2 linked regions of the Daphnia pulex genome follow. The main gene of each other region encodes a partner of the protein of the gene in region 2 in a complex. Links are inferred from orthologs where the notes say so. Each region holds a gene or a part of one and is shown on either strand. Other genes may lie near its edges.

Evidence for each region. The genes of interacting proteins can lie anywhere in the genome.
Region 1: histone acetyltransferase Tip60-like (region 2) and inhibitor of growth protein 3-like share a complex: the UniProt entries of both Homo sapiens proteins name them as parts of the SWR1-like complex. The link is inferred for Daphnia pulex from reciprocal best matches to the Homo sapiens genes KAT5 and ING3.

The regions. Positions count from the first base shown.
Region 1 is NC_060019.1:7,718,012-7,729,258, forward strand, and holds the start of inhibitor of growth protein 3-like, read right to left. Parts: upstream 6,383-11,247; 5' UTR 6,250-6,382; coding exon 6,222-6,249; intron 6,150-6,221; coding exon 6,078-6,149; intron 1-6,077. Other genes in the region: uncharacterized protein LOC124190484, read right to left, coding at 7,692-8,326, 8,406-8,718; thymidylate kinase-like, read left to right, coding at 9,832-9,903, 9,977-10,031, 10,103-10,120, 10,190-10,280, 10,349-10,439, 10,511-10,699, 10,753-10,866. UniProt on the Homo sapiens protein: Component of the NuA4 histone acetyltransferase (HAT) complex which is involved in transcriptional activation of select genes principally by acetylation of nucleosomal histones H4 and H2A.
Region 2 is NC_060018.1:12,582,687-12,593,764, reverse strand, and holds histone acetyltransferase Tip60-like, read right to left. Parts: upstream 6,358-11,078; 5' UTR 6,307-6,357; coding exon 6,235-6,306; intron 6,173-6,234; coding exon 6,115-6,172; intron 6,041-6,114; coding exon 5,972-6,040; exon of another isoform or gene 5,908-5,971; coding exon 5,599-5,907; exon of another isoform or gene 5,532-5,598; coding exon 5,457-5,531; exon of another isoform or gene 5,385-5,456; coding exon 5,188-5,384; exon of another isoform or gene 5,126-5,187; coding exon 5,042-5,125; exon of another isoform or gene 4,980-5,041; coding exon 4,655-4,979; exon of another isoform or gene 4,591-4,654; coding exon 4,428-4,590; exon of another isoform or gene 4,361-4,427; coding exon 4,144-4,360; 3' UTR 4,057-4,143; downstream 1-4,056. Other genes in the region: transcription initiation factor IIA subunit 1-like, read right to left, coding at 460-567, 638-907, 987-1,108, 1,181-1,381, 1,453-1,551, 1,595-1,784, 1,929-1,952; serine/threonine-protein phosphatase 2A regulatory subunit B'' subunit gamma-like, read left to right, coding at 2,241-2,375, 2,431-2,535, 2,599-2,708, 2,769-2,937, 3,007-3,195, 3,258-3,394, 3,459-3,672, 3,737-3,864 and 1 more; threonine aspartase 1-like, read left to right, coding at 6,491-6,592, 6,652-6,935, 7,001-7,184, 7,247-7,345, 7,406-7,846; arginine-hydroxylase NDUFAF5, mitochondrial-like, read right to left, coding at 7,862-8,097, 8,156-8,300, 8,369-8,455, 8,518-8,829, 8,893-8,997, 9,055-9,194, 9,440-9,488; glucose-6-phosphate exchanger SLC37A2-like, read left to right, coding at 9,929-10,026, 10,088-10,266, 10,570-10,648. UniProt on the Homo sapiens protein: Catalytic subunit of the NuA4 histone acetyltransferase complex, a multiprotein complex involved in transcriptional activation of select genes principally by acetylation of nucleosomal histones H2A and H4.

The DNA.
Region 1 (11,247 bases), on a different chromosome or scaffold from region 2:
TAGCGCTCTTCCAACAACAGGCAACAAGCCAAGCAGCAAATCAAGCGGCAAATCAAGCAGCAAATCAAGCAGCAAATCCAGCAACAAGTCAAGCACAGATGGCGCAAATTATTGCCCAAATCATGGCGGCCATTCCGGCACCTCCCGCGCCAGTAATCAACGTGACGGCAGCACCAGCCCCAGCTTCAGCCGTACAGTCGATACGATTGCCGCAGCGACAAATTAAGCACTTCAAAGGAGACGTACTGGAATGGACCCAATTCTGGGAATCCTTTAACGCAGCTGTCCACTCTTCATCTCTTTCAAACGTCCAAAAATTCGATTACCTCAAGGAATATCTTAAAGGTGAGGCGTACCTGTTGGTTAACAATCTTGAATTAACAGATGCGAATTACCAAGTCGCAATCGACGAACTGAAAAGGATGTACGGGAAGACGGACGTTCTAATCGACGCGCACATTGAGAAACTGGATGCCTTGCAGCCCGTAAAGGACGGGAACGACGTTCCAGCTCTGAGGAGCTTCCAGCTGAATCTCCAATCGCACATTAGCGCGTTGGAAACGTTAGGAGTCCCCACAAGTTCCTTTGGCGGACTCCTCGGAGCAAGATTAATCAAATTAATTCCTACCAGGCTCCAACAAGAATGGGCAAAATCGCCAACAAACAAATCAACGGACATCGAGATGGTCATCAAATTCATTGGAGATCAAATCGACGCGGCCGAAAGGTTCAACCGAATCAAAGGTGTGGAAAAGGAGAAATCGTCTCCAGCTCCTAAACAGCCCAAACCGGCAAATCCACAGCCGGCAACAGCATCACAATTGGCAGTAGGAGCCAAAGCAAGTCCAGCTCCTCAGGTTAAATCCGCCTTAAAAAATAAAAACGTTAAATTTAACCCAAGTTGGATTGTGTGCGAAAGGCCCTGCATCTTCTGCAGCCAAATTCACTGGCCGACAAAATGTCCGAAAGGGCTGACGGAAAGGAAAAAGATAATCTTTGATTTGAAAAGGTGCGTCAACTGTTTTGGAGACAAACACGCGCTGAAGGATTGCACATCCGCCCGGAACTGCAACAAGTGCGGAGGGAGGCACCACACCGCTCTCTGCGACAAAGGAGACGTCAGAGTCACCAATCCCACAACAGCAGCAATAATCGTGGCCAGCGATCCAACTTTGACAACCACAGCCTGTGCAAGCAGCTTTGGACAATTGATGCTGAAAACGGCAACAGTCATCATCAGCGGCCAAAACGGTAACGAAACAAGAGCGATTTTATTTGCAGACGACGGAAGTCATCGTTCTTGGGTGCTGAAATCACTCTCATCGCAACTTAACATGAAGACAGTAGCGGTGGAAAACATCAGCACAAGAGTGTTTAAGAAAAAGGAACCCAACAAGCCCGAAATGACAAAAAACGTCGAAATGCAAGTAAGGGGCACCTGGCAAGGCGCCCCAAAAGTTACACTAATGGCTTTAGAATCGGATCACATTTCAGATACCGGCCCGTACGTAGGATCCGAATTTGCAAACAGCCTCTGGATCCAAAACGAAAAATTGGCCGACGACAGATTCGAGATGGCACACACCGAAGATCAGCCAATTGGAATTTTAGTCGGAATGGACCAGATGTTCCAGATCATGTCGAATGAAGCCGCCATACAGAGTCCATGCGGATTGCGCGCGTTTCAAACGAAACTCGGAAGAATGATTGCTGGACCATCTCAAGAAGCAAAATCGAAGACAGGAACTCAAGTAATCCAAAATTTAATTTTAACATCAAGTTACCCGATTCCACAGATTACGTCAACATTCGCGACAAGTAGCCAAAAAAGAAAAATCCTTTCAACTCAAGCAAACAAAACTCCGATGGAAAAGGAGACTGGAACGGCCAGTCCCCAAACTACGCCAATAGGAGCGTCATTCTCAGATGCCCCAATCGGATCCAGCGGAGAAGAAGATAGTAAATGGTTTGAGAAGGAAGAACAAGTTGCTGCTAATTTCGACCTTTCTCTTTTCTGGAAAATAGAAAATTTTGCGAACCTTGAAGGCGCTGATGCAGTGGAATCGGATGATCGCTTCGATTTCTTTGACGAAAAAATAACGAGATGGCCAGATGGAAGATACTGTACACCGATCCCTTGGACAACTGACAAGTGGAGACTTCAGAAAAATCTCCCGTTGGCCACCGGAAGAGTGGAAAGCACAATAACAAGATTGAGAAAAAATCCAGGAGACTTGGTGAATTACCACGCAGAAATCCAAAAGCTCATCGACAGCAAATTCGTCGAGGAGGCGAACATGGACTACGAAGAACTTCACACCTATCTCCCACATCATCCGATCTTCAGAGGCGACAAATCAACGACGAAAATCAGACCCGTCTTTGACGGAGCAGCAAAAACGAAATTTGGACCAAGTCTGAACGACGTGTTGGAGACCGGACCAAATCTCAATCCCGATCTCCTATCAGTGCTATTACGCTTCAGAAAGTACGAGATTGCCTGGATCGCCGACATAGAAAAAGCCTTTCTAAACATCGCCCTGCAGCCGGAAGATGCTGAAGCAATCAGGTTTTTATGGCCCAGGGATCCAGCAGTGGCTGGATCGCCTCTTATTGCCTACAAGTGGAAGAGAGTGCCCTTTGGCCTTAGTTCTAGCCCCTTTCTCCTACGTGTTACAATTAACAAACATTTCAAATCACTAAAGTCTCGTTTTCCAGAAACTATTCAACAGCTGGAAGAAAGTTTGTACGTTGACGATTACCTCGGCGGAGCAAACAATTTATCAATCGCCAAGAAAAGAGTCGATGAGACGGACGAGATCTTTAGTGACGCCCAACTCAACATGAGAAGCTGGGCAACCAACAACGAAGACCTCAAACAACACCTGAAGGAGAAAGGACTGTCGAATCAAGTCGTAGGCCTACTCTCCCCAGCCTTGGACGGCCAACAGAAGGTGTTAGGAATCCGGTGGGACACCGGATCCGATTCGTTCAAATTCAACCCAGCATCCATCATCCAAGCAGTAGAAGAAGTGGGATCGGAAATCACCAAAAGAAAGATACTCAGTATCTCGGCAAGGATTTTTGATCCAATTGGATTTTTATCTCCCACTGTACTTTTGTTAAAGATTATTTACCAGAAGCTCTGGGAAAAGGAGATAGGTTGGGACCAAGCAGCGCCAGCCGATATCCAAAAATCTTGGAAGATAGTGATGACTGGTCTCGCCGATTTCACCGAACTACAAATTCCACGATGGATCGGACTATCCGAAAAAGTCACTTCTCACGAAATACACGTCTTCGGAGACGCTTCTGAAGCAGCGTATGGAGCCGTAGCCTACGCCCGACTCCAAAAAGGACAAGAAGATCCACTCATCATCCTACTGGCCAGCAAAACGAGAGTTGCACCCCTACCTAAGAAAAAAGTAACTTTACCGCGTTTAGAACTGCTGAGCTCACTTTTAGCCGTACGTTTAGGTGAAGTCGTAAAAAATGCAATGCAAGTCCAGTATTGGAGAACTATCTACTGGTCAGACTCCTTGGTTGCACTAGGATGGATTAGAGGAGAGCCGAACAAATGGAAACCATTCGTCCGAAACCAAGTGGAGACGATACGAAAATTTTCACAACCCGAGTGGTGGAGACACTGTCCAGGTCTCCAAAATCCGGCCGATCTTGCCTCGCGGGGAGCGCCAGCGCCAACGCTGGTAACCTCAACTCTTTGGTGGAACGGCCCGATTTGGCTCAAAGGAGAAGAAACGGAATGGCCAGATTCTCCCAACGACCAAATTCCACAAACAATCCAGTCCGAAATGGAATCGGAAGCTAGGAGTACGACGGTCAGCACAACAGCAGCCATCGCAATTCCAACAGCCTCCGTCGACTGGAATCTCGACAAAATTTCCACCTGGAATCGACTGTTAAGACGTACAGCCTGGGTCTCACGATTCCTCAGCAGGAGTCAAAAGAAGCTCAGACCTCCCGGTCCAGAACGAATGGAGTCGATAAAGGCAATTGGACCAGATGGAAAAGGAAGTGGAAAAGTTATCCGGATTACAAGATTATCCAGAGAGGAGCTGGATGAAGCGGAACTAACGATCTACAGACAGCTCCAACGAGAGCGGTATCCTAAGGCGTTTGAATCGCTACAGTTAGACAACACAATCCAGCCCAAGGAGAAAATCGCTGCACTTTTTCCAATCTGGGACGCCAGAGACCGTCTCGTTCGAATCCATGGGAGAGTATCACTTGCCCTAAGAGATAGAAACATCGATCCCCCAATTTTGCTTCCTGCATCACATATAGTAATCACTTTCTTAATTACAGACAAACACGAGTCACTACTACATGCAGGAGCAAAAGTAACACTATCCGAGTTAAAAGAAAAATTCTGGATAGTTAAAGGACGACAGCAAGAACTAGCAGCCCCTCTTCCTTTAAACCGACTCAAACATGCGCAATCTTTTCACGTTACAGGAGTCGATTTCGCTGGACCACTGCTGTACAAACCAGCACAGCGAAGGAAGAAAAGGAAAGCTCCACCAAGCGTCCAGGATCCGACGCCAGCAGACGATCCAACTGAAGAGCGAATCGAGGAGCCACCCGCTGAAGGAGACGCTCCAATCGAAGCTCTAATCGTAGGCGAAGAGGATTCAGTCGAAGAAGATGTCGAAATCCAAGACATCTTAATAACAACAACTAAAGCTAAGAAAACGAACCATCTTAAAAGTTATGTTTGTCTTTTTACGTGTGCAGTCACTCGAGCGGTTCACTTGGAACTACTACCCGATATGACGGCGCGTTCCTTCTTACTAGCCTTTCGAAAATTCGCAGCTAGACGAGGACCCGTCTCAGTGATGTATTCGGACAACGCGCAAACGTTCCGATGTGTCGACCGATTCCTGAGAACTATTCACGCCGATCCCATCATTCAAGACTTTCTCGCGTCCAGAAAAACCCTTTGGATATTTTCCGCCAGCCTAGCGCCATGGTGGGGAGGATTCTGGGAACGGATGGTGAGGAGCGTCAAGGATCTGCTGCGACGCTCCAACGGTCGAGCCTGCCTTGACTACATGGAACTGGAAGCGAGTTTAGCAGAAATCGAGAGCGTAATCAACGCCCGCCCACTCAGCTATATTGGGGAAGGAGCTGACGATCCACTTCCGATAACTCCTAACCAATTTCTAAACAACAGACGTTCTACTCGTGCCGATCCGGAGCCAGCCGTTAACTTGCTGGATCCTACATCGACCAGCATCGTACTACAAGAGATGGACAAGAACAGGAGGGAATATGTCGCTGACATCTGTGCTAGATTCGTCGACGATTATCTACTCCAACTAGACAACTTCCACTCCAAAGGAAAATCCGGAAGGAAGATCCGCCTAGGAGAAGTCGTTGTTATCCACGACGAACACTCCAAACGACTCATGTGGTCTACCGGAGTAGTGAAGGAACTGATTCCAAGCCGCGACGGACTCATCCGTTCTGTCATGCTCAAGATTCCAAATGGTAATTTAATTAATAGAGCCATTCAATGTCTTCACCCTATAGAGCTGCGAGAAGATCTCGCCGAAGACGTCGAAATTGGAAATCCGGAACCGATCCAGGAGCCGGAAGAGGATCCAAATCCAACTCTGCCAGAACCAGAAATCGATCTCGCTATCGGAGACGCTATGCCAGCTCCCGAAGAACCGGAAGACGTCGTCGAAGATGTCGAGCCGGATGCTACGGGCTCTGGTGGGGAGTGTGTTAGGAATATTCCATTCCAACAGACGACGACGAGATCAGGGCGCCGCACAACAACACCGGCGCACCTACGCGACTATTGCCTTGGGGGCCCCCGATAGGTGGCCCCAAATTCAGTCGTTGGTCCCCAAATTCAGTCGTTGTTTCCCTACCCCCCTATTGTTTATTCCCCCCCAATTTACTGTACAATATTCAGTGTGTTAAAATAGACGAGAGGTAAAAGACACGGTTTTGTTCGTGTCTAATTTATTCAACTTGGAAACTGTAAGTAAACGGCCCGACACGCCGAACATCCCTATTACATTTTCTACAACTTATTCGAGAGTTACTTTGAACTTGTAAATCCATTTCGCGCATTTCAGTAAATCGATCCCTCAGTTCTTGGGGCAAATGCTCTATCACTACAATGGGGAGATGGTAATTTAAAAATTTTAATCAGGGAACTTTATCATCACTTGAAACACTCATCATACTTTCCAAATAATCTTCTAAGTACAACATTTTGGTACAAATTGATTGAAATCGACAATAAAATTTATTTAAGTTTTGAGAAATTTTCTTTTTCTTATACGCTTTTGACGGATGGCTTGGATCACTGCTTCTTTTCTGCAGTTGATCTACAGGAATCTAATGTGATGACGCGAGCGAGTGAATGTCTGCAGATTCCCTCTAGCGAGCAATTTGGTCACTAGGAGTTGTGCTCACTTGGTCTAGTGTTAGCCTACTGCCGCCTACTGCCAGTCCTAGTTATACTGTAGGCAGCGTACGTACGCCGCAAGGTACCCGAAGGGAATGTTAAGGGTATTCTAGTTGGTATAGTAGTATTGGTATAGTTTTACAAAGACAGAGCTATAGAATAGTTATAGAATAATAAAAATATTCTGTTATAAAGGTAGGCCTATTATTAAGATGGATTAATAACATTTAAAAAAAATTTATGCCCTTAGTTTCCGGAAGATTGTAATAAGCATAAATCGAGAAAGAGATTAAAAGAATATTTCCGCGTGACTTTGGTGCGGCGGAGGCTTCGCCCCGCCACCCCACGTCACACCGGATCTTGTTAAAATTAAATTTAAGTAACTACCTATCAGCACTTCTGTTACTGGAGATTGATAGCGTTCGGTGATAACATACAGTGACTTCTATTCTATCATACAATAGTAGTCGATTGTCACGTTACGTTTATATCCCTGTCACATGTCTCTGTATTATCGTCTGCTGTAACAGCTATTGAAATTCTGTCAAAAAGTAACCAGAACTCCGTTTGATCAAATGCCTGAATTGATTGCAGCCAAATTTTCAGAATAGATGTAAAAAATTGTAAGCTACCGATTACTGCCATTGAAATGCAATAAAATTGTTGATTACAATCAATAATTGCCAAAAACTAGTGCATCCATCTATGTAGTGTTACGAGAACTGAGGGTGCCCATGTAAACCATACTGCAAACGAAACTTTGACCAGTAACCCTTCGGGTAATTTGTAAATATTGAAATATTTGAAATAAATAACATGAAAACTAATTAAAAGTGACATGTGTGCTTTGACTTTGTCTTGTCTTTGACTCAACTCATGTGTCTATGTGAAAGAGCCGTCTGAAAAGCGATCTAAATTGGGCTCCGAAAGTCCGAAAAAACCTTCTTAAAAAATCCGTGTCTTCGGAGTTCGGACGTCACCTTCTTTTTACGAAAAAATTTCGTTCCATCTTTAACAACACTCAGTAGATTTGAGTCCAATTTTGTATTTAGAACCTTTTAGAGATTGAATTTAACCATTCAGGCTTACAGAGAAATTTTCGCACGTAGCAGTGAATCGAATTGGTAGCCTGCCGCTGGTGTGATTTCCATTAGTGAGGGAAATATCTAGTGAGGGAAATGTTTATATTAAAATCAAAGATTAAGTTAAGTTAAATTATCTTCATTATACCTCATACCAGATTCGTTTATCGAAATATCTGTACTTGTCCTCCATTTCGACAGTTGCTGAGCCGAAAAGAAGAAGACGATCCATCTTCATAACGAAATACAACTTCGGCATTCTTCTGAAATTTGGGGCTTCCTGATCCGTTGAATTCGAACCAACCATCGTTATTCCGGCGACCTGTCACTCCAGCCGCAACAGCTGACGAACTGATCCTACCTCCGGTGTTAACGACTCCAAGGATTGCGTAGTAATTATTAGTAGTTTCGGAATTGGGACGGTAGTAGCAGATGGCATCATTTCCGTTTAAGGGGTTTCGGTTGGTCAACGAAACACTACAATCGACGATACCGGGTGACTTGTTCGAAGTGGCTCGTCGCCAGGTTTTGCCGATCATGTCCACCCCGCAGGAATCGCTGTTCAGGTTGCAAGTGCTGGCCACAACGGCATCAATCGGTCCGTTTCCGCAGTCGATCCGCAAGACTTGGCCGCACAATCCTTGACGCCACTTGAGGTTTCCGAGTGCTTGCGATTGTCCAAGAGCAATCGCGTCGGTTACCGCGTAATCACCTTGCGGCATTTGACATCCGCCAGCATCAGATTGCTCCGCCCAGAAAGTGCCTTTGACATTACGATTGCCGGAATTTTCATTACTTCCTAAAAATGTTGAGATTTTAATAATATTTAATATTGTAAGACTTTGTGACCAAAAATATTCAAAATGCTTTAAGTGCACCTGTTAGGAATCCGCATATGCCTCCCCAACCGCTTGTCTGTTTACGGGAAGGGATGCTTGATGCCTTTTTCAAATAGCAGATTCCATTAAAGTGACTAAAGTGGTTACATCCATTTGTTTTAATACAAAGGCCGCCACATTGGTCGCCAGGAACTCTTTGATTTCCGATATCATTGCCGGGAAAGTCGCAATCAAATTGCCATTTAACTTTGCCCCCGTCACCGTCGTTCCACGCCTGTGCGTCCACTGGATCAAATATTATCGACAGCACAACAAACGGGACGAGAATGCATACGAGAACTTTCGAAATCATCGTTCTCCTGCATCAATTTAAAAACATGTTATTATGATGCATGTTATCGTTTTTTTATGCGAAATTATGAAATCTGGAGTGCTTACCTGAACAGCTCTGATGAGAGGCGTAGTAGTGTGTCAAATTTCGACTTCTAGCTGTGACTAAGTTCTTATTGCGAGAAAACAATCCTTTTATACAGTAGCGCTTCAGTGATCGGGCCACCTGGTGCAATGACCCTAGATGGGTGTTGGCTCTATAAACGAGCCACAGATCGCAGAGCTTCCACGGTGCGATTGATAGAAACATGTGTCAGACAGGTAGAATTTGACACAACAACGATACTGACACATCAGTTCAAACAGAGAACATATGTCATGAACAACTGTCCACTCAATCTGTTTTTAATGCTCATCTCTTCGTTTGCACAGATTTCGGCTCGACAATTTTGGCAATGGTTCTCCTAGCCCTTTCCTACGTTATAAAATATGAATATTCATTATAAAAACGAGACACTAATATACTGTGATGCATTACCTTCGACTTCTTCAATCCGCTTCATACAAACATTGATGTAGGCTATTGCTTCCTCGCAACTTGGCGAGCCCAAATGAAGAAACCGGAAGTCGGTTGAAGATCCTATATGTGGAATGTGGCTCATAAAGCATACTTTACTGACCGAATATGCCCATCGCAATATGATAGTAAATTTAACATTTTAAGTAAAATGAAGAATGAAAATTCCTCCCACCTTGACGTTTCGTGCGAGTTCATTACGATTCATGTCGTACTTGACACGATGACTATGACTGGTCACGAATGAAAGAGCGGAAGAAGATAGTATGGCGCGCCGAATCCATCACAAAAAAAAAATTTTAAAAATTAAAAAAAAAAAAAAAGGCCACCGCAATCTAGCGGTCAAATTTGGAACTACCCCAGTAGTGGTCTTTATCTATGGTCTCGTCTGGTAAGTTTTCGAAAGTGACAAGTTCTTGTTCTTGTTGTTCTTTCTTGGGAAGTGTCAAATCAGCAGATTTTACTGCTTAACTTAACTGTTACGCACTTTAATTATTCCAGCCATCGACAAGTTATTTTTATACTTATTTTAGAGGTATACACTAATATTGCAATAAAATGATAAAAAGAGGCGCACTCATCGTATTAGAAGGATGTGATCGGTCAGGAAAAACTACTCAATGTCAAAAGGTAAAACATTTGTATTAATAAACATCTTAAAAATCAAATAAACAAAGTGCATTTGTTGCATAAATACCACAAGGCAATCAGGTGGTTACAAGACAGCAACAAAGAAGCTCATCTAATGAGATTTCCAGGTAGCGAAATGTTTAATATTTTAATGTTGATATACTTCTTTAAATGATCTCAAAATCCTCTAAAATTTCAGATCGATCAACTATCATTGGTAAATCTCTACCACAATTTCAACCTAATTAACATTTAGATTGAAAGTATTCTTTTTACATCCTTACAGGGAGTCTTATCAATAAATACTTGGAATGCAGCACAGAATTAGATGATCATACAATCCATTTGCTCTTTTCAGCCAATCGATGGGAACTGTTGTACGTCTTTTTGAGTTTTCTTGTTTAAATTTTTCTATGCATTTTAGGTTATATATTTCTACACACAGGCCAGACATTAAAAAATTATTGCAGAAAGGCACAAATGTAATCGTGGATCGTTACTCATATTCAGGAATTGCCTTCTCTGCCGCAAAACCTGTATATATAACAAGGATTTTCAGCTAAAATTATTCTTGTAAAACTCTAACTTGCCTAATACTTTGTTAAAGAACATGGACTTAAGGTGGTGCCAACAATCAGACAGTGGTTTGTTGAAACCTGATCTGGTAATATTTCTTGATATTGATCCCGTTGAGGCACAAACTAGGGGAGAGTATGGATCTGAACGCTACGAAAATCTTGAGATGCAGAAAGTTGTCCGATCAAACTATCTGAAGCTTCAAGATGAATCATGGAGGGTAATGCAATAATAAAATATTCTAGAATACTCCTTATAATGTTATATTTTCAGGTTGTAGATGCCAGCAGATCTATGGAAGAAGTCGGGCGTGATGTCTGTCGATTGGTTCAGGAAGCATTGGGCAATATAACACCCGATTCCGCATTGAAGCAACTGTGGATTTAATTTGTGTCAAATAATTTTGAAGTTTATCCACTTGTGTAACGACGAAAGCCCTTAGTGTATTTCGGATCCATTAATTTTAAAAATAAAATAAATTGTTAGTCATATTTTTTGAAGGAACTGTATCCTGTATTTTAGTGCTTTCGCAGGGATCCAGGTTTTTCGTCATACGGGAGGAAGTTGCTTTTCCACAGATGACTTTTTTCCCAATATAGGTGATGATTTGGTACTGATTTCTCCCCTAGATGGCTCGAATAGCTTTGTGGCATTGTGTTTCTTGTTCAAACTGCGCGCCTCAAAAATGTTCCGATAGATAAGGAATTAAGGACATTCACCATGTCCAATGACCATCGGATAGGAGTAGGATATGTCGTTTTCTATCGA
Region 2 (11,078 bases):
AATTAGTAACATTGTCCCCTGGGTCTTGGACTAGTTTTGGGTCACGTTATTAGAATCTTCTCGAAAACTAATTGCAATTCTTGGTAATTTGAACATATATTTTTCTTCTTCTTCTAAATATTCCTGAATCAAAAGGGGGCGACAACAGCTTCTGCAGCGAACAGGGAAAAGATGAGACAAAAAAAGAATTCGGAAAGTTTTGTGTGTTAACAAAAAAAGAGAAACGAAACAAAAGAAGCGAGGGAGGACAAACACGAATGGCTTTTGTTTCTTTGTCCCCAGGTATTTTTTCCTCTCCACCGCTCATCCAACACCCGACATGAAAAAAGAAATTCCGCACATGCACACGCACAGGCACACGAAAAATCCTTAAATTGAAAGCGAAATTCCTCCGGATTGTATTAAATGAAACATTATCTTGATTTTCCCCTAGTAGCGCAATTTCAACCTTGAATATTTTCACCACTCTGCATCACCGTTGGCCTTTTGAAAGACGTAATCGCGACCGTTAATGTTCATGATGCCGTCCTTGAGATGAAACTTCCACCTGTTTCGACTTCTCGTAATCTACAAATAGAAAAAAAAGTCATTTAAAACATTTCAATTCCAATTCGAATGCTAAAATTCAAATCCTTGCCTTGTCGTACTGGCACACGACGACGTTATCAGTTTCAAATAACACTGAGGGATCATCATCAGTCACATCGTCTTCAGAGTTGAGTGGCTCCTCGTCTGCGTTCTCTTCGTTGTCTGCGTCAATCTCCTCGTCGTCATGATCGTCCTCTTCTTCCACGTCGTCATCGTCATCATCTTCAACATCGTCGTCGTCGTCCGAAGAGTCTCCGGGTCCATCCAACTGTGTGACTCCTCCATTGTCAGTTCGCGATTGGCTCCGTGCAGCTGTCGACTACAAAGAAAAGTAATAATGCATTGTACACACATTATTATATACACTTTCGAGTGGATTCAATTTCAACCAATGGTACCTGCAACGCGTTATTAATGTGCTGCTGCAAGACAGTCGTGGCCATTTCAACTGGAAGAGAGAGAGCCGCCGTCACAGCCGGTGAACTCAGGATCGTTTGCAGCTGCGCTCCCGCTGCGCCACCTGTGACATTATTACAAATAGTAAAGAAATTAGATTGGAGCTAGTACGAACGAGATTCAATTGGGAAATAACCTTGAAGAGCATGAGCTGGAACGTGAACAGTGATGCTCTTGGCTGCTGTATGACCTGCTACTCCAGCCTGAGGAGGAACAGTGATTTGGACTGGCACCGTCCTTACTGTTGTCGTAGCAGGGGCTGCAGCTGCTGCTGTTGTTGCTGCACCTGTAGCTGCATTAGGGGTAGTCACTGGGGTTTGGGCTGCTGCTGCTGCTTTAGAGAAAATAAAAACAAACAAACAAAACAATTAATAATAATGCACTCAATGTAACAGTATACCCAACTACCTGGTTGCTTTGCCGTAGTGGCTGCCTGTTGAGGTGTAGAATTGTTCGCAGGAGCTGTAGAGCTAGCCTGCTGACCTGCTTTTGACGGCAAAGAAGACCCTTTTTTCATACATGATAAAGTCTCATAATCGATATTGGATACTTTGTTGCAGTTTGCTTTGGAGAGAAGTTTCAGCAGGATCGGTCACAGGGTCGATTGCTTTGCTGGACTGCAATTTGTTTTCCCAATTCTGCTTCAATTCGAGAAGTACAGCCTCATCGATTCCTTCGTCAAGAAACGCCTCTCGAACCCCGTTGATAACATCTTCAATAACGCCACGATACAGTTTCGACTACAAAAAAAGAAATATAAAAGTCCTTAATTAGACCAACGAGGAGTGAGATCGAGCTCGTGGAGTGGAATCGTCAATGCAACAACAGTTTCCAGGTACTATTCCCCATGAAATATTATCATAAAGTAAAAGGTAAATAAATACCACGAGTGCCTGATTGGCGGCCATTCTTTAACGAAATTGAATTTTATTTGATTTCAATTCCGGGAGGGCTTCGTTCAACAGGAAGCCGACATGAAAACTAAGACTGACGCGGCAATATATATCGAAATGCCCCCGATGGCAGCGCCACGAAGCGTGATTTTGGCTAAGCATAGCATCTAGCGGTCGAAAAAAACATTCTTTCTGCTAAAAGTAAAGCCGTTTGTTATCGTTTCGACACGTTTGAATCGAATGAACAAGAAACGTTTTTATTAGCGGCCTAAGTCTCAGTATTCGTTGATTTTCATCAACGAGATGGATGAAAAATCCGAGATTTTGGTTTTAAACGCCGAAGATGAAGATACCTTCCAAAAGTTGTATTCCGAAGGTCTCAAATATAGCAAGCAATGCTCGGAAGAAAGCATGCCAGTTCCAAAGTTCTATACCAAAGTAAGCATAACTTCCAATTGATTCCCTATAAATTTCTTATGTTTTTGTTACACAGCTTCCTAATCATGAAAACATGATTAGCCTTAAACTGAGAGAAGAAGCTAGAACAGCATTCCTTCAGAAGAAGAGCAAAGAACTCCTCGATAACAATGAACTGCAGGTTTGTTAATGTCATTGCCAGTGTTTGTGCTACTGGTAAATAAGATTTTCATCCTGTCTTTAGAATCTCTGGACTTTACTTGACAAAAATCACAGCCCTCCTGCTGGTTCTGAGCAGATGATCAATTATATTGATTTTCTCAAAGTAGGCAACATAGCTGGTCCAAAATATAAGTAAGACATGTAAATATTTGATTGGGAACACCAAGTTATTTTTTGAATTCCCCTATACAGAGCATTCTTTACACCAGATGTATTTGCAAGGCTATTGCAGAATGATATTCATGGCAGAATATCAACCATGGCAGTGTTCAATTACATCATGAGGAAAGTTTGGTTACAGCAAACTAGAATTGGTCTTTCATTATATGATGCCACAGGACAAGGTCTGCTTACTGAAATGGTGAACATCAGCAATATGTTTTTTGTTTTTGCAATATGTAATTTACTTATCTATTTTTGTTTTTCCCAGGATTTAGAGAACTACATAACTGAACTTATCCCAACATTGCCACAGTTAGAAGGGCTTGAAAAGTCATTCCATTCGTTTTACGTCTGTACCGCCGTACGCAAGTTCCTCTTTTTCCTAGATCCATTAAAGCTAGGCAAAGTCAGGATACAGGATATTCTCGCTTCTGGTTTTCTGGACGAACTTTTAGAGGTATTTAGTATATTCCTGATTCTTTTGTCATTCTTCTCGCTAAAAATATTATAATTCATCAGCTACGGGATGAAGAGCTGCCCAAAGATGCACAGGATTCAAACTGGTTTTCTGCGCCCTCCGCTCTGAGAGTCTACGGTCAATACTTAAATTTAGATACCAACAGAAACGGCATGCTTTGTCAGGAAGAGCTCAGACGGTAATTTACCATATTTCAATTTGCAGTACGTACATTTAAGATTTTTTTTAAATTTAATTTTCAGATTCGGAACTGGCACGTTGACGCGAGTTTTCATTCAACGAGTATTCGAGGAGTGCATGACCTATGAGAAAGAAATGGATTATAAAACGTACTTGGATTTCGTATTGGCCATGGACAATAAAAAGGAACCACAAGCACTTCAGTATTTTTTCCGTTTGTTGGACGTCAATCATCGAAACCATCTCAACACTTTTGACCTCCATTTTTACTTCAAAGTATTAATTTCCTCATTTGACCTTTTGACTTTCTTATCTTGAAAAAAAAAAAAATGCTTTGCAGGGGGTTCAAGAGTTGATGCAGCAGCACAAACAAGAAGTCGTTGCTTTTGACGACGTCAATGATGAGATTTTCGATATGGTGCGTCCTGCCGATCCGTCAAAAATCACTTTACATGATTTGATTAACTGGTAACACACAAAGTTCATTTAGAATTTTTTTAGAATAAGATTGTCATTGAACGTTTTCTGGCTCAGTGGATACGGTGAAACTGTGATCAATATCTTGATTGATTTGGATGGATTTTGGACATACGAGAACCGTGAAGCTGTTGTCGTAACAGACAAGAATAACCAAGAGAAACAGGACATTTGAATTTGGAATTCTTGTACATAGAAATTGTGAGTGTATTTTTTAAAAAAAAGCAAAGAAGTAGCAAGATCGCGGAATGGATTGTAGGTGCGATCTCATCACCATTTCCCTCTTTTGGACCAGTCTTTCGGTGTCCAGTGCAAGCATTTGGGATCGATGTGTAATTTCCATTTCTCTTTGTTTTTTATGCAATTTTTCATCGCTTCTTCGTTCAGAATGAGTACGTACTGCCCCTTGTAGTAATTGATGAGGTTCAAATGCTGTAAGGTGGACACCACGTCCTCTTTTTTAATGCTCGTCATTTCGCAAATTTCGCTATTTAAATTAAAACGAATTCGTTTGTCAACGTGAGCTCTAGAATGAAGTAATTTACATCACTTACTTGATGGTAATTTGAGGACGTTCACCTTCACTGGATGGTTTCATATTCATCAGAATATCACAGATTGTAAAAGCCCAGTAACTGCGATAAGACAGCAACCCTAAATCGGACAGAGGTTTTTCTGGCGAGCCCGTTTTGCCTTCGAACTTGGACAGCTCGTAACCTTTACGTAAACAAAAATGGTTTTAAAAAAATATTTCCCCTTGGGTTTACGATTCTGTACGCACTGAATTCAATAAGAAGTTTTCCATATCCTTTCCGTTGATAGGGTGGTAATGTTAAGATGCAGGCGACATTGTAGTCCTCCGAGCTTTCTTTCTCTTTGCTAAAGTAGCCGACGATATGAAAACCTCGTGCATCCACTTCAGTCATGACGTAAAAGAGGAACGGATCAGTGTCGTAATACAGTGTCTTGTGATCAAGGAACAGTTTCGCTAGCAGGCATAGGTTCTGAGCGTATGCTTTATTTTTACGGCCGTCGATTTCAAAAAAAGAAATTGTCTGTTTGCGGTAAACTTCATTGCCTGGCGGATGTCTAAGATTGCACTTCATCTGTAGAAAAAGTTTAAGGGTTGATCATCCAATTAAAAATATATCGTAAAATTTTAAATTACCAGATGACGTTCTAGACATTTTTCACTTTTCCGGTACTTGAGACAAAACTCGCATATGTAAATACAAGCTTGGTGAACCATTTCCTAATTTTTGAAAAAGAATAGTAAACATTTCGGATCTTTACGTTCGTTAGATGATGACATACCTGAGGGTAGGGTGCGAAATACCAAGGTTTTATTCTGTGTCTGCCGAGTTCAATCATTTGAATATTTTTCATTCGTGTTACAACGTCATCGTGATGTGTAACAAGACTGCCCGACTGACGTGGCCCTGGTGTAGTCGGTGCAGGGGTGGACGGTGGGGCCGGAGAGTTAGCATCTCCTACCTCACAAACTGAATCACCTATGCAGAAAATTTTAGTTTTAATAATCATTTATATATAATAAATAGATTGTAGAAAAAATGACTAATTACTTGTAGGAACAGCACAACTATCGCTAACTACGGTGGGTGGCAGAGTGGGGATTGCTGGTAATTCTTTTTCAATTTCTATAAAAATAAAATTTAAAAGAATTTATGAAAAATGTAAAGAATTAATGAAATAAAATAACTTTACTTATAAGTTTCTTGGCAGGTGGGATTGGAATAATGGATCCTGGACTGGGCTCTTCTTTTTCTCCAATTTTACGTTTTCTTCCATTTCTCTTTTGTATTGCTGCAGCCAGTAGAGCAGACCCATTGACAGTAAGGTCTGATGCACTGGATGCAGCTAGTGGGGAAGAAGGACGGGAAGAACCAGTTGTTCCTCCAACTTTTTTAGGAGTACTCATGCCTGTGCCTACTTGAGTTCCATCTTTTCTAGGAAACTGAATTTTTCTCGTATCTAAGAAATCTTCTGAGACCCAATCATCAAGTCGTTTGTTGACTAGAGTTGAATTAAAAATTTTGTAAGATGATGTATCGTTAAACATAGCATATACAAAACTTACAGTCGATGTAATGGACATAAAACATCCTGATGTTGCAGATATCTTTGACACTGAGTACTTCGGCTAGAGCTAAATGATAACAAAAGAAAAACCACAATTAAACTTTCAAATCTATAAAATGATAACAAAGCAACAAATGTTACGCCAGTCTTCGGTGTTTCTCATCCGTACAGGCAACCGACAGCCTTCAACAACAGATGCCTAGATAATAGAATAAACAAAATTAAACATGGTTTCTAATGAAATAATGTAAAAATTCATACAGTTGAATCTGAAAACAGATCTTTATCTACAATCTCTTCTTTCATTTTTGACAATGACTGTTCGGTCTTCATTAGAGAAAAAGCTTTCAAAACAACAGTGCGCGGCCATGAGCGACATTGCCGCTTTTGCCGGTTGGAAATGGTAGTCTTCTGCTAGCTCTCTCACAAACTGGACCGATCAGTCCCATTTCAAATTGTAAAATGAAATTTCGGTTATGAAAATTCTCGACAAAATTTAAACCATAAAAGTGCAAAAATGTCACAGTATGGATTTGTTGCTATTCATCTTGGAGCAGGCTGCCATAGTTCAAAATCTGAAGCTATTTACAAAAAACTTTGCAAAATAACGTGTGAAAAGGCATGGCTTTCTATTAGTGATTCATGGTTTCATAGTTTGACTTGATAAGTTTTTCCCAGGGAGCAGCTTTATTGCAAGAAGGAAAATCTGCACTAGATGTTACGTGTGAATTGGTTTGCATATTAGAAGATTCACCACTAACTAATGCAGGATATGGCTCCAATCTCACTGAGAGCGGTGAAGTTGAATGTGATGCAGGAATCATGTTGTCTTTGAAACATCAAAGAAACACACGATTTGGAGCAGTCTCATCACTTAAAAGTATTAAAAATCCTATAATGGTAGCCAAAGAAATCATTTTATACCAGAATGAACCAAGACTTCTTGGTAGAACACCTCCACTGTAATTCAAAATACCATTTGCATCACTTAAAATGAGTGGTTAAATTAACACAGCCTTTTTTTTAGTGTTCTAGTAGGAGAAGGAGCGTCTGATTTTGCTAAAAACCGAGGTTTGAATCTTGTTCACAATAGCACTCTTATATCTGACAAAGCCATGAGAAAGTATAAGAAATATAAAGAACGGCTGGAAGTATCCAGAAAAGCTTTATCAAGTGGGCTAAAGATCACAGTGCAGCCAAACCCAAGTCAAGTAATATATTTGGTTTCCTAAAGTAATGTTATCCAAATATCATGGTTATTTTTTAAATCTAGGATACAGTAGGAGTAATTTGCATAGATACGAATGGTGACATTGCAAGTGCATCGAGTTCGGGAGGAATTGCTATGAAGCTTCCCGGCCGAGTTGGACAGGTTTTCCTTTATTCCTTCTTGTCATTTTAGTAGTCATTTACAATGTGTATATTGCGATAGGTGCCAGTTTACGGCTGTGGTTGTTGGGCGCAGCATTCCAGCTCCGGTGGTGTTGCTGTGTCAACTTCTGGTTGTGGCGAGCAACTCATCCAAACAACCTTGGCCAAGAAGCTTGGTCAAACCATATTAGAGCGAGGAGATCCGGCTTTCCACTTGAAAGAGCTCATGTGTGACGAGTTCATCCATTCAGAAATGCTGTCTGATGACGTCTATGACCGGATGGGTGGTGTTCTAGTGGCGTATTATAGCGAAGATTCGATAGATTTCAACATGGCCTTCACAACTGATTCGATGGTCGTCGGTTTCATGAGCACTAACCATGAAAAGGCTATTGTTCGGGTGTCTCGAAACACGTCGCTTGCGACACCGACAAATGCAAATAACTCATCACATTCCAGTAGGTTGACTATGGAAGGCTTTATTGTGAAACTAATAAATTAAGGAGAACAACAAGCGTTACATCTTTTTCCCGTCGTTATCCTCCAAATTGTGAGTAATTTCTTTAGCAGTTTGCTTGACCATGTTCTCGGTGGCATTTTTCACGACTTCATCGAGCCGATAGAGATCTTTAATGGATATTTCTCCTGTTCCGCGCTCGAGGGGTTTAGGCTGTGAAGGATCAGGTTTCCACCCGATCATGTAAATAATCTGAAACGTTGCTGGAATAGACCCGTCTTCATTTCCATAGAGTTCTATTGATCAAGAGGGGTATTAGCAAAACTAAGAAAAAAGAAGAAAATGTCAAGAAACCTTTATAGATGGCTGACGCAGCGAACATCGTGTCCCGATGCAAATGCAGTTTGCGGATCCACGAAGCGTTATTTTCGCCCATTCCTTTAAGATCTTCCATTAGTTCGAACATTGAAGGGTAGCCTACGCTTATTTCGTCAGTGTCCTATCCTTTTACACCGTTGTTAGTCGAAATTAATAATATAACATCTTTGGGGGTGTAATATTTCTCACGATGGTTAGCATGGTGAATCCAGCGGAGTTAAGAAGTCCACCAATGTCTCGGATTGCAGCGAAGGGTGATATGTGTGCAGCGAAACCCTGCAGTGATACAAACAAATTAGTTCATTAAACGATTAAAAAGTAGTAAAATCATAACATACTCCTTCCCGTTCGGTCTCTCCTAGTTGCAGTGAACCCCTCAGTTCGTACAGGGTTTCGCCTCCAAAAAGAGCGCCAATAAATACACCGTCAGGACGTAAACATTTCATAATTTGAGAGAAAGTGCTCGGTAATTGATTTACCCAATGTAAACTTAAACTACTCATAACGAGATCAAAGCTCTCTTCTTCAAAGGGAAGGGTTTCTTCGTCCACAACCATTTTCCGACAATTTATGGTCGTATCTTCCGGTATCGAGGCTTTCTCTAAAACTAACGCTGAATGATCGCACATGACCAACTCCTCCACTGCATCCTAAAATTGAAAAACAAGATTAGTTAAACAACTCAAATATTATTAAAACCTCCTACTGACAACCTTTGTTAGATGTCTGCTCACATGTCCATACCCACAACCTAGATCCAGGCCTTTTTTGAATTTTCTGTTGATGTCATACACTCGATCTGATAATCTGTTGCCAACCTAAATTATTTAATCTCATAACATATGGCCACACAAATATTTTTTAACTTTAAATACTTCATCTTTGATGTAGTTAAATTGATGATAATCCTCATTCTTTGCAGTTCGGTCCCTTTGCAATTTCTTGGCCAAACGATCAAACACATTCATGTTGTGGCTGTTTTGACTCATCCTTCTGGTCCCATTATATAAGTAACCTATTTCATAAATCAAGACATCAGTTAAAGTAAGGTTCATTTACATGAGCCTACCATATGCTATGGTTGGAGTTAGCTCAAAGAGTATTAAGAAACAGTTTTAACTTTAGCCTTGTGCAAATACAACTAGCAGCTGGCGGAACTGATGCAATTACATGACGGTCTTATCGTTACTGTCAGACAACAAAACCGTCATCGTCTGAAAATTCACTTAAATTTTAAAATACATAAATTTATATAGTAACCTTGCAATTGAGTCGGACAGACGAGTAGTGATAAACGCTTTATGGACATATTTTGTTGTTGCTGAGCTAAATAGCTGTGAGTAGCAAACAAAAAACAAGAAGAGGATCGAATATAAAATATGCCCCCAGATCCCTCCTTTATCGCATAGCAGACTATGCATGTGTACAGATGCGCGTGAAACAGCCTGAGGCACTGAAGTAGAAATCCCAGCTGTTGGCTCTGTTGTCTGCTGTGTATCCCATGACAACATAGACCAGCTTCAAAATTTTCACAAAATTGTTCACCACCGTTCCGTGTATACGTGGCTAAAGTTTTGTCCGACTATTTACTCTGGTCGTTTGCAGTTAGTTATTGATTTCGTGAAATTTGGTAAGGAAATGAAACTTCCTTGGTGTTTACTTTACCAAGCTTCATTGCTTACAAAAGATCTAATTGTTTGCAATTTCCATTCCTTTGTTTCATTGTGTAGCTTGTCTACTTGTAACAAAATGCCTCATTCCGCCCATGATGTGCCTTTGGGTGTCGCAATAATTCGAAAATTTGGAAGTTGTTTTTGCCCAAACTTTAGAGGATCAAGACCGTTCATGTAAGTTTATTTTTGAAAACACCAAGCTGATTGACGTAATGACATTCTATTCTTTCCATAGATACCGAACATCTATATTGTTACTAACATTCTTCACCTACACAGCATATCACATGTCAAGAAAACCAATCAGTGTTGTAAAGAATGTTTTGAGTCAGAATTGCAGTGGTTTAATTCCTCCACCTGGAACACACATTGACGATGACAACAAAGACTCTTGGTGTGATTGGGCTCCATTTGGTGAGTTGTTAGTCATTTCATGTTTTCTCAAATTTAAAGTGACCTTGATACTCATGTTGTTTCCAAGATTTTCAATGTACATGCTTTGTACATGTGACATGTTCATGTTCCCTCCTCCAGTTTGACCCTCTTATCCCCCTTCCTATCCCCCTCACCCCAACAAAAATAGAGATGCCTAATGGGAGAATGTGGTGGTAAAAAAAACTTAAGTTTTATGAACTGTAAAATTCATGGTTTAAGGCGATTGAAGGCAACGGATATATTGACAAAGCTTTCGGCATTTTTCTTCCTTTATTTTTCTAGATGGAAAAAATTCACAGACCTTGCTAGGTACCCTGGATTCGGCCTTCCTTTTTGCCTACGCAGCCGGCATGTTTCTTAGGTGAGTTTGATCCCAATCCCAAGAGAGGGACTTATTTCCGCCCTCTTTTTTAAGGACCTATATAAAATCTATAAAAATGAAAAACGTTTTCCTTTTCTACTCCTCCTCCCTACACCCTATATTCCACTTTCAAAAACAATTTCTGTCTCCTCCATTATTTAAAAAAGAAAAAAAGGAGAGCGCATTCCTATGCGTCAGACTGGGGTTTATCTTCAAACCATATCGTCCGATAAATAACCCCCATCCCCCTATCATACTTCCTTCGTTAAAGTATGGATGCACCGGAAGACCCTAACCAATCAGCAACTTGTTATGTGTAGAAATGTCGGTAGCGTATATACCACAAAATCAACCCGATCCAAGCGTTGACTCATAACTACTTCCGCGAGTTTGTTATTTAGGGGGGTAATCTAAGACGTGTATACAAGAC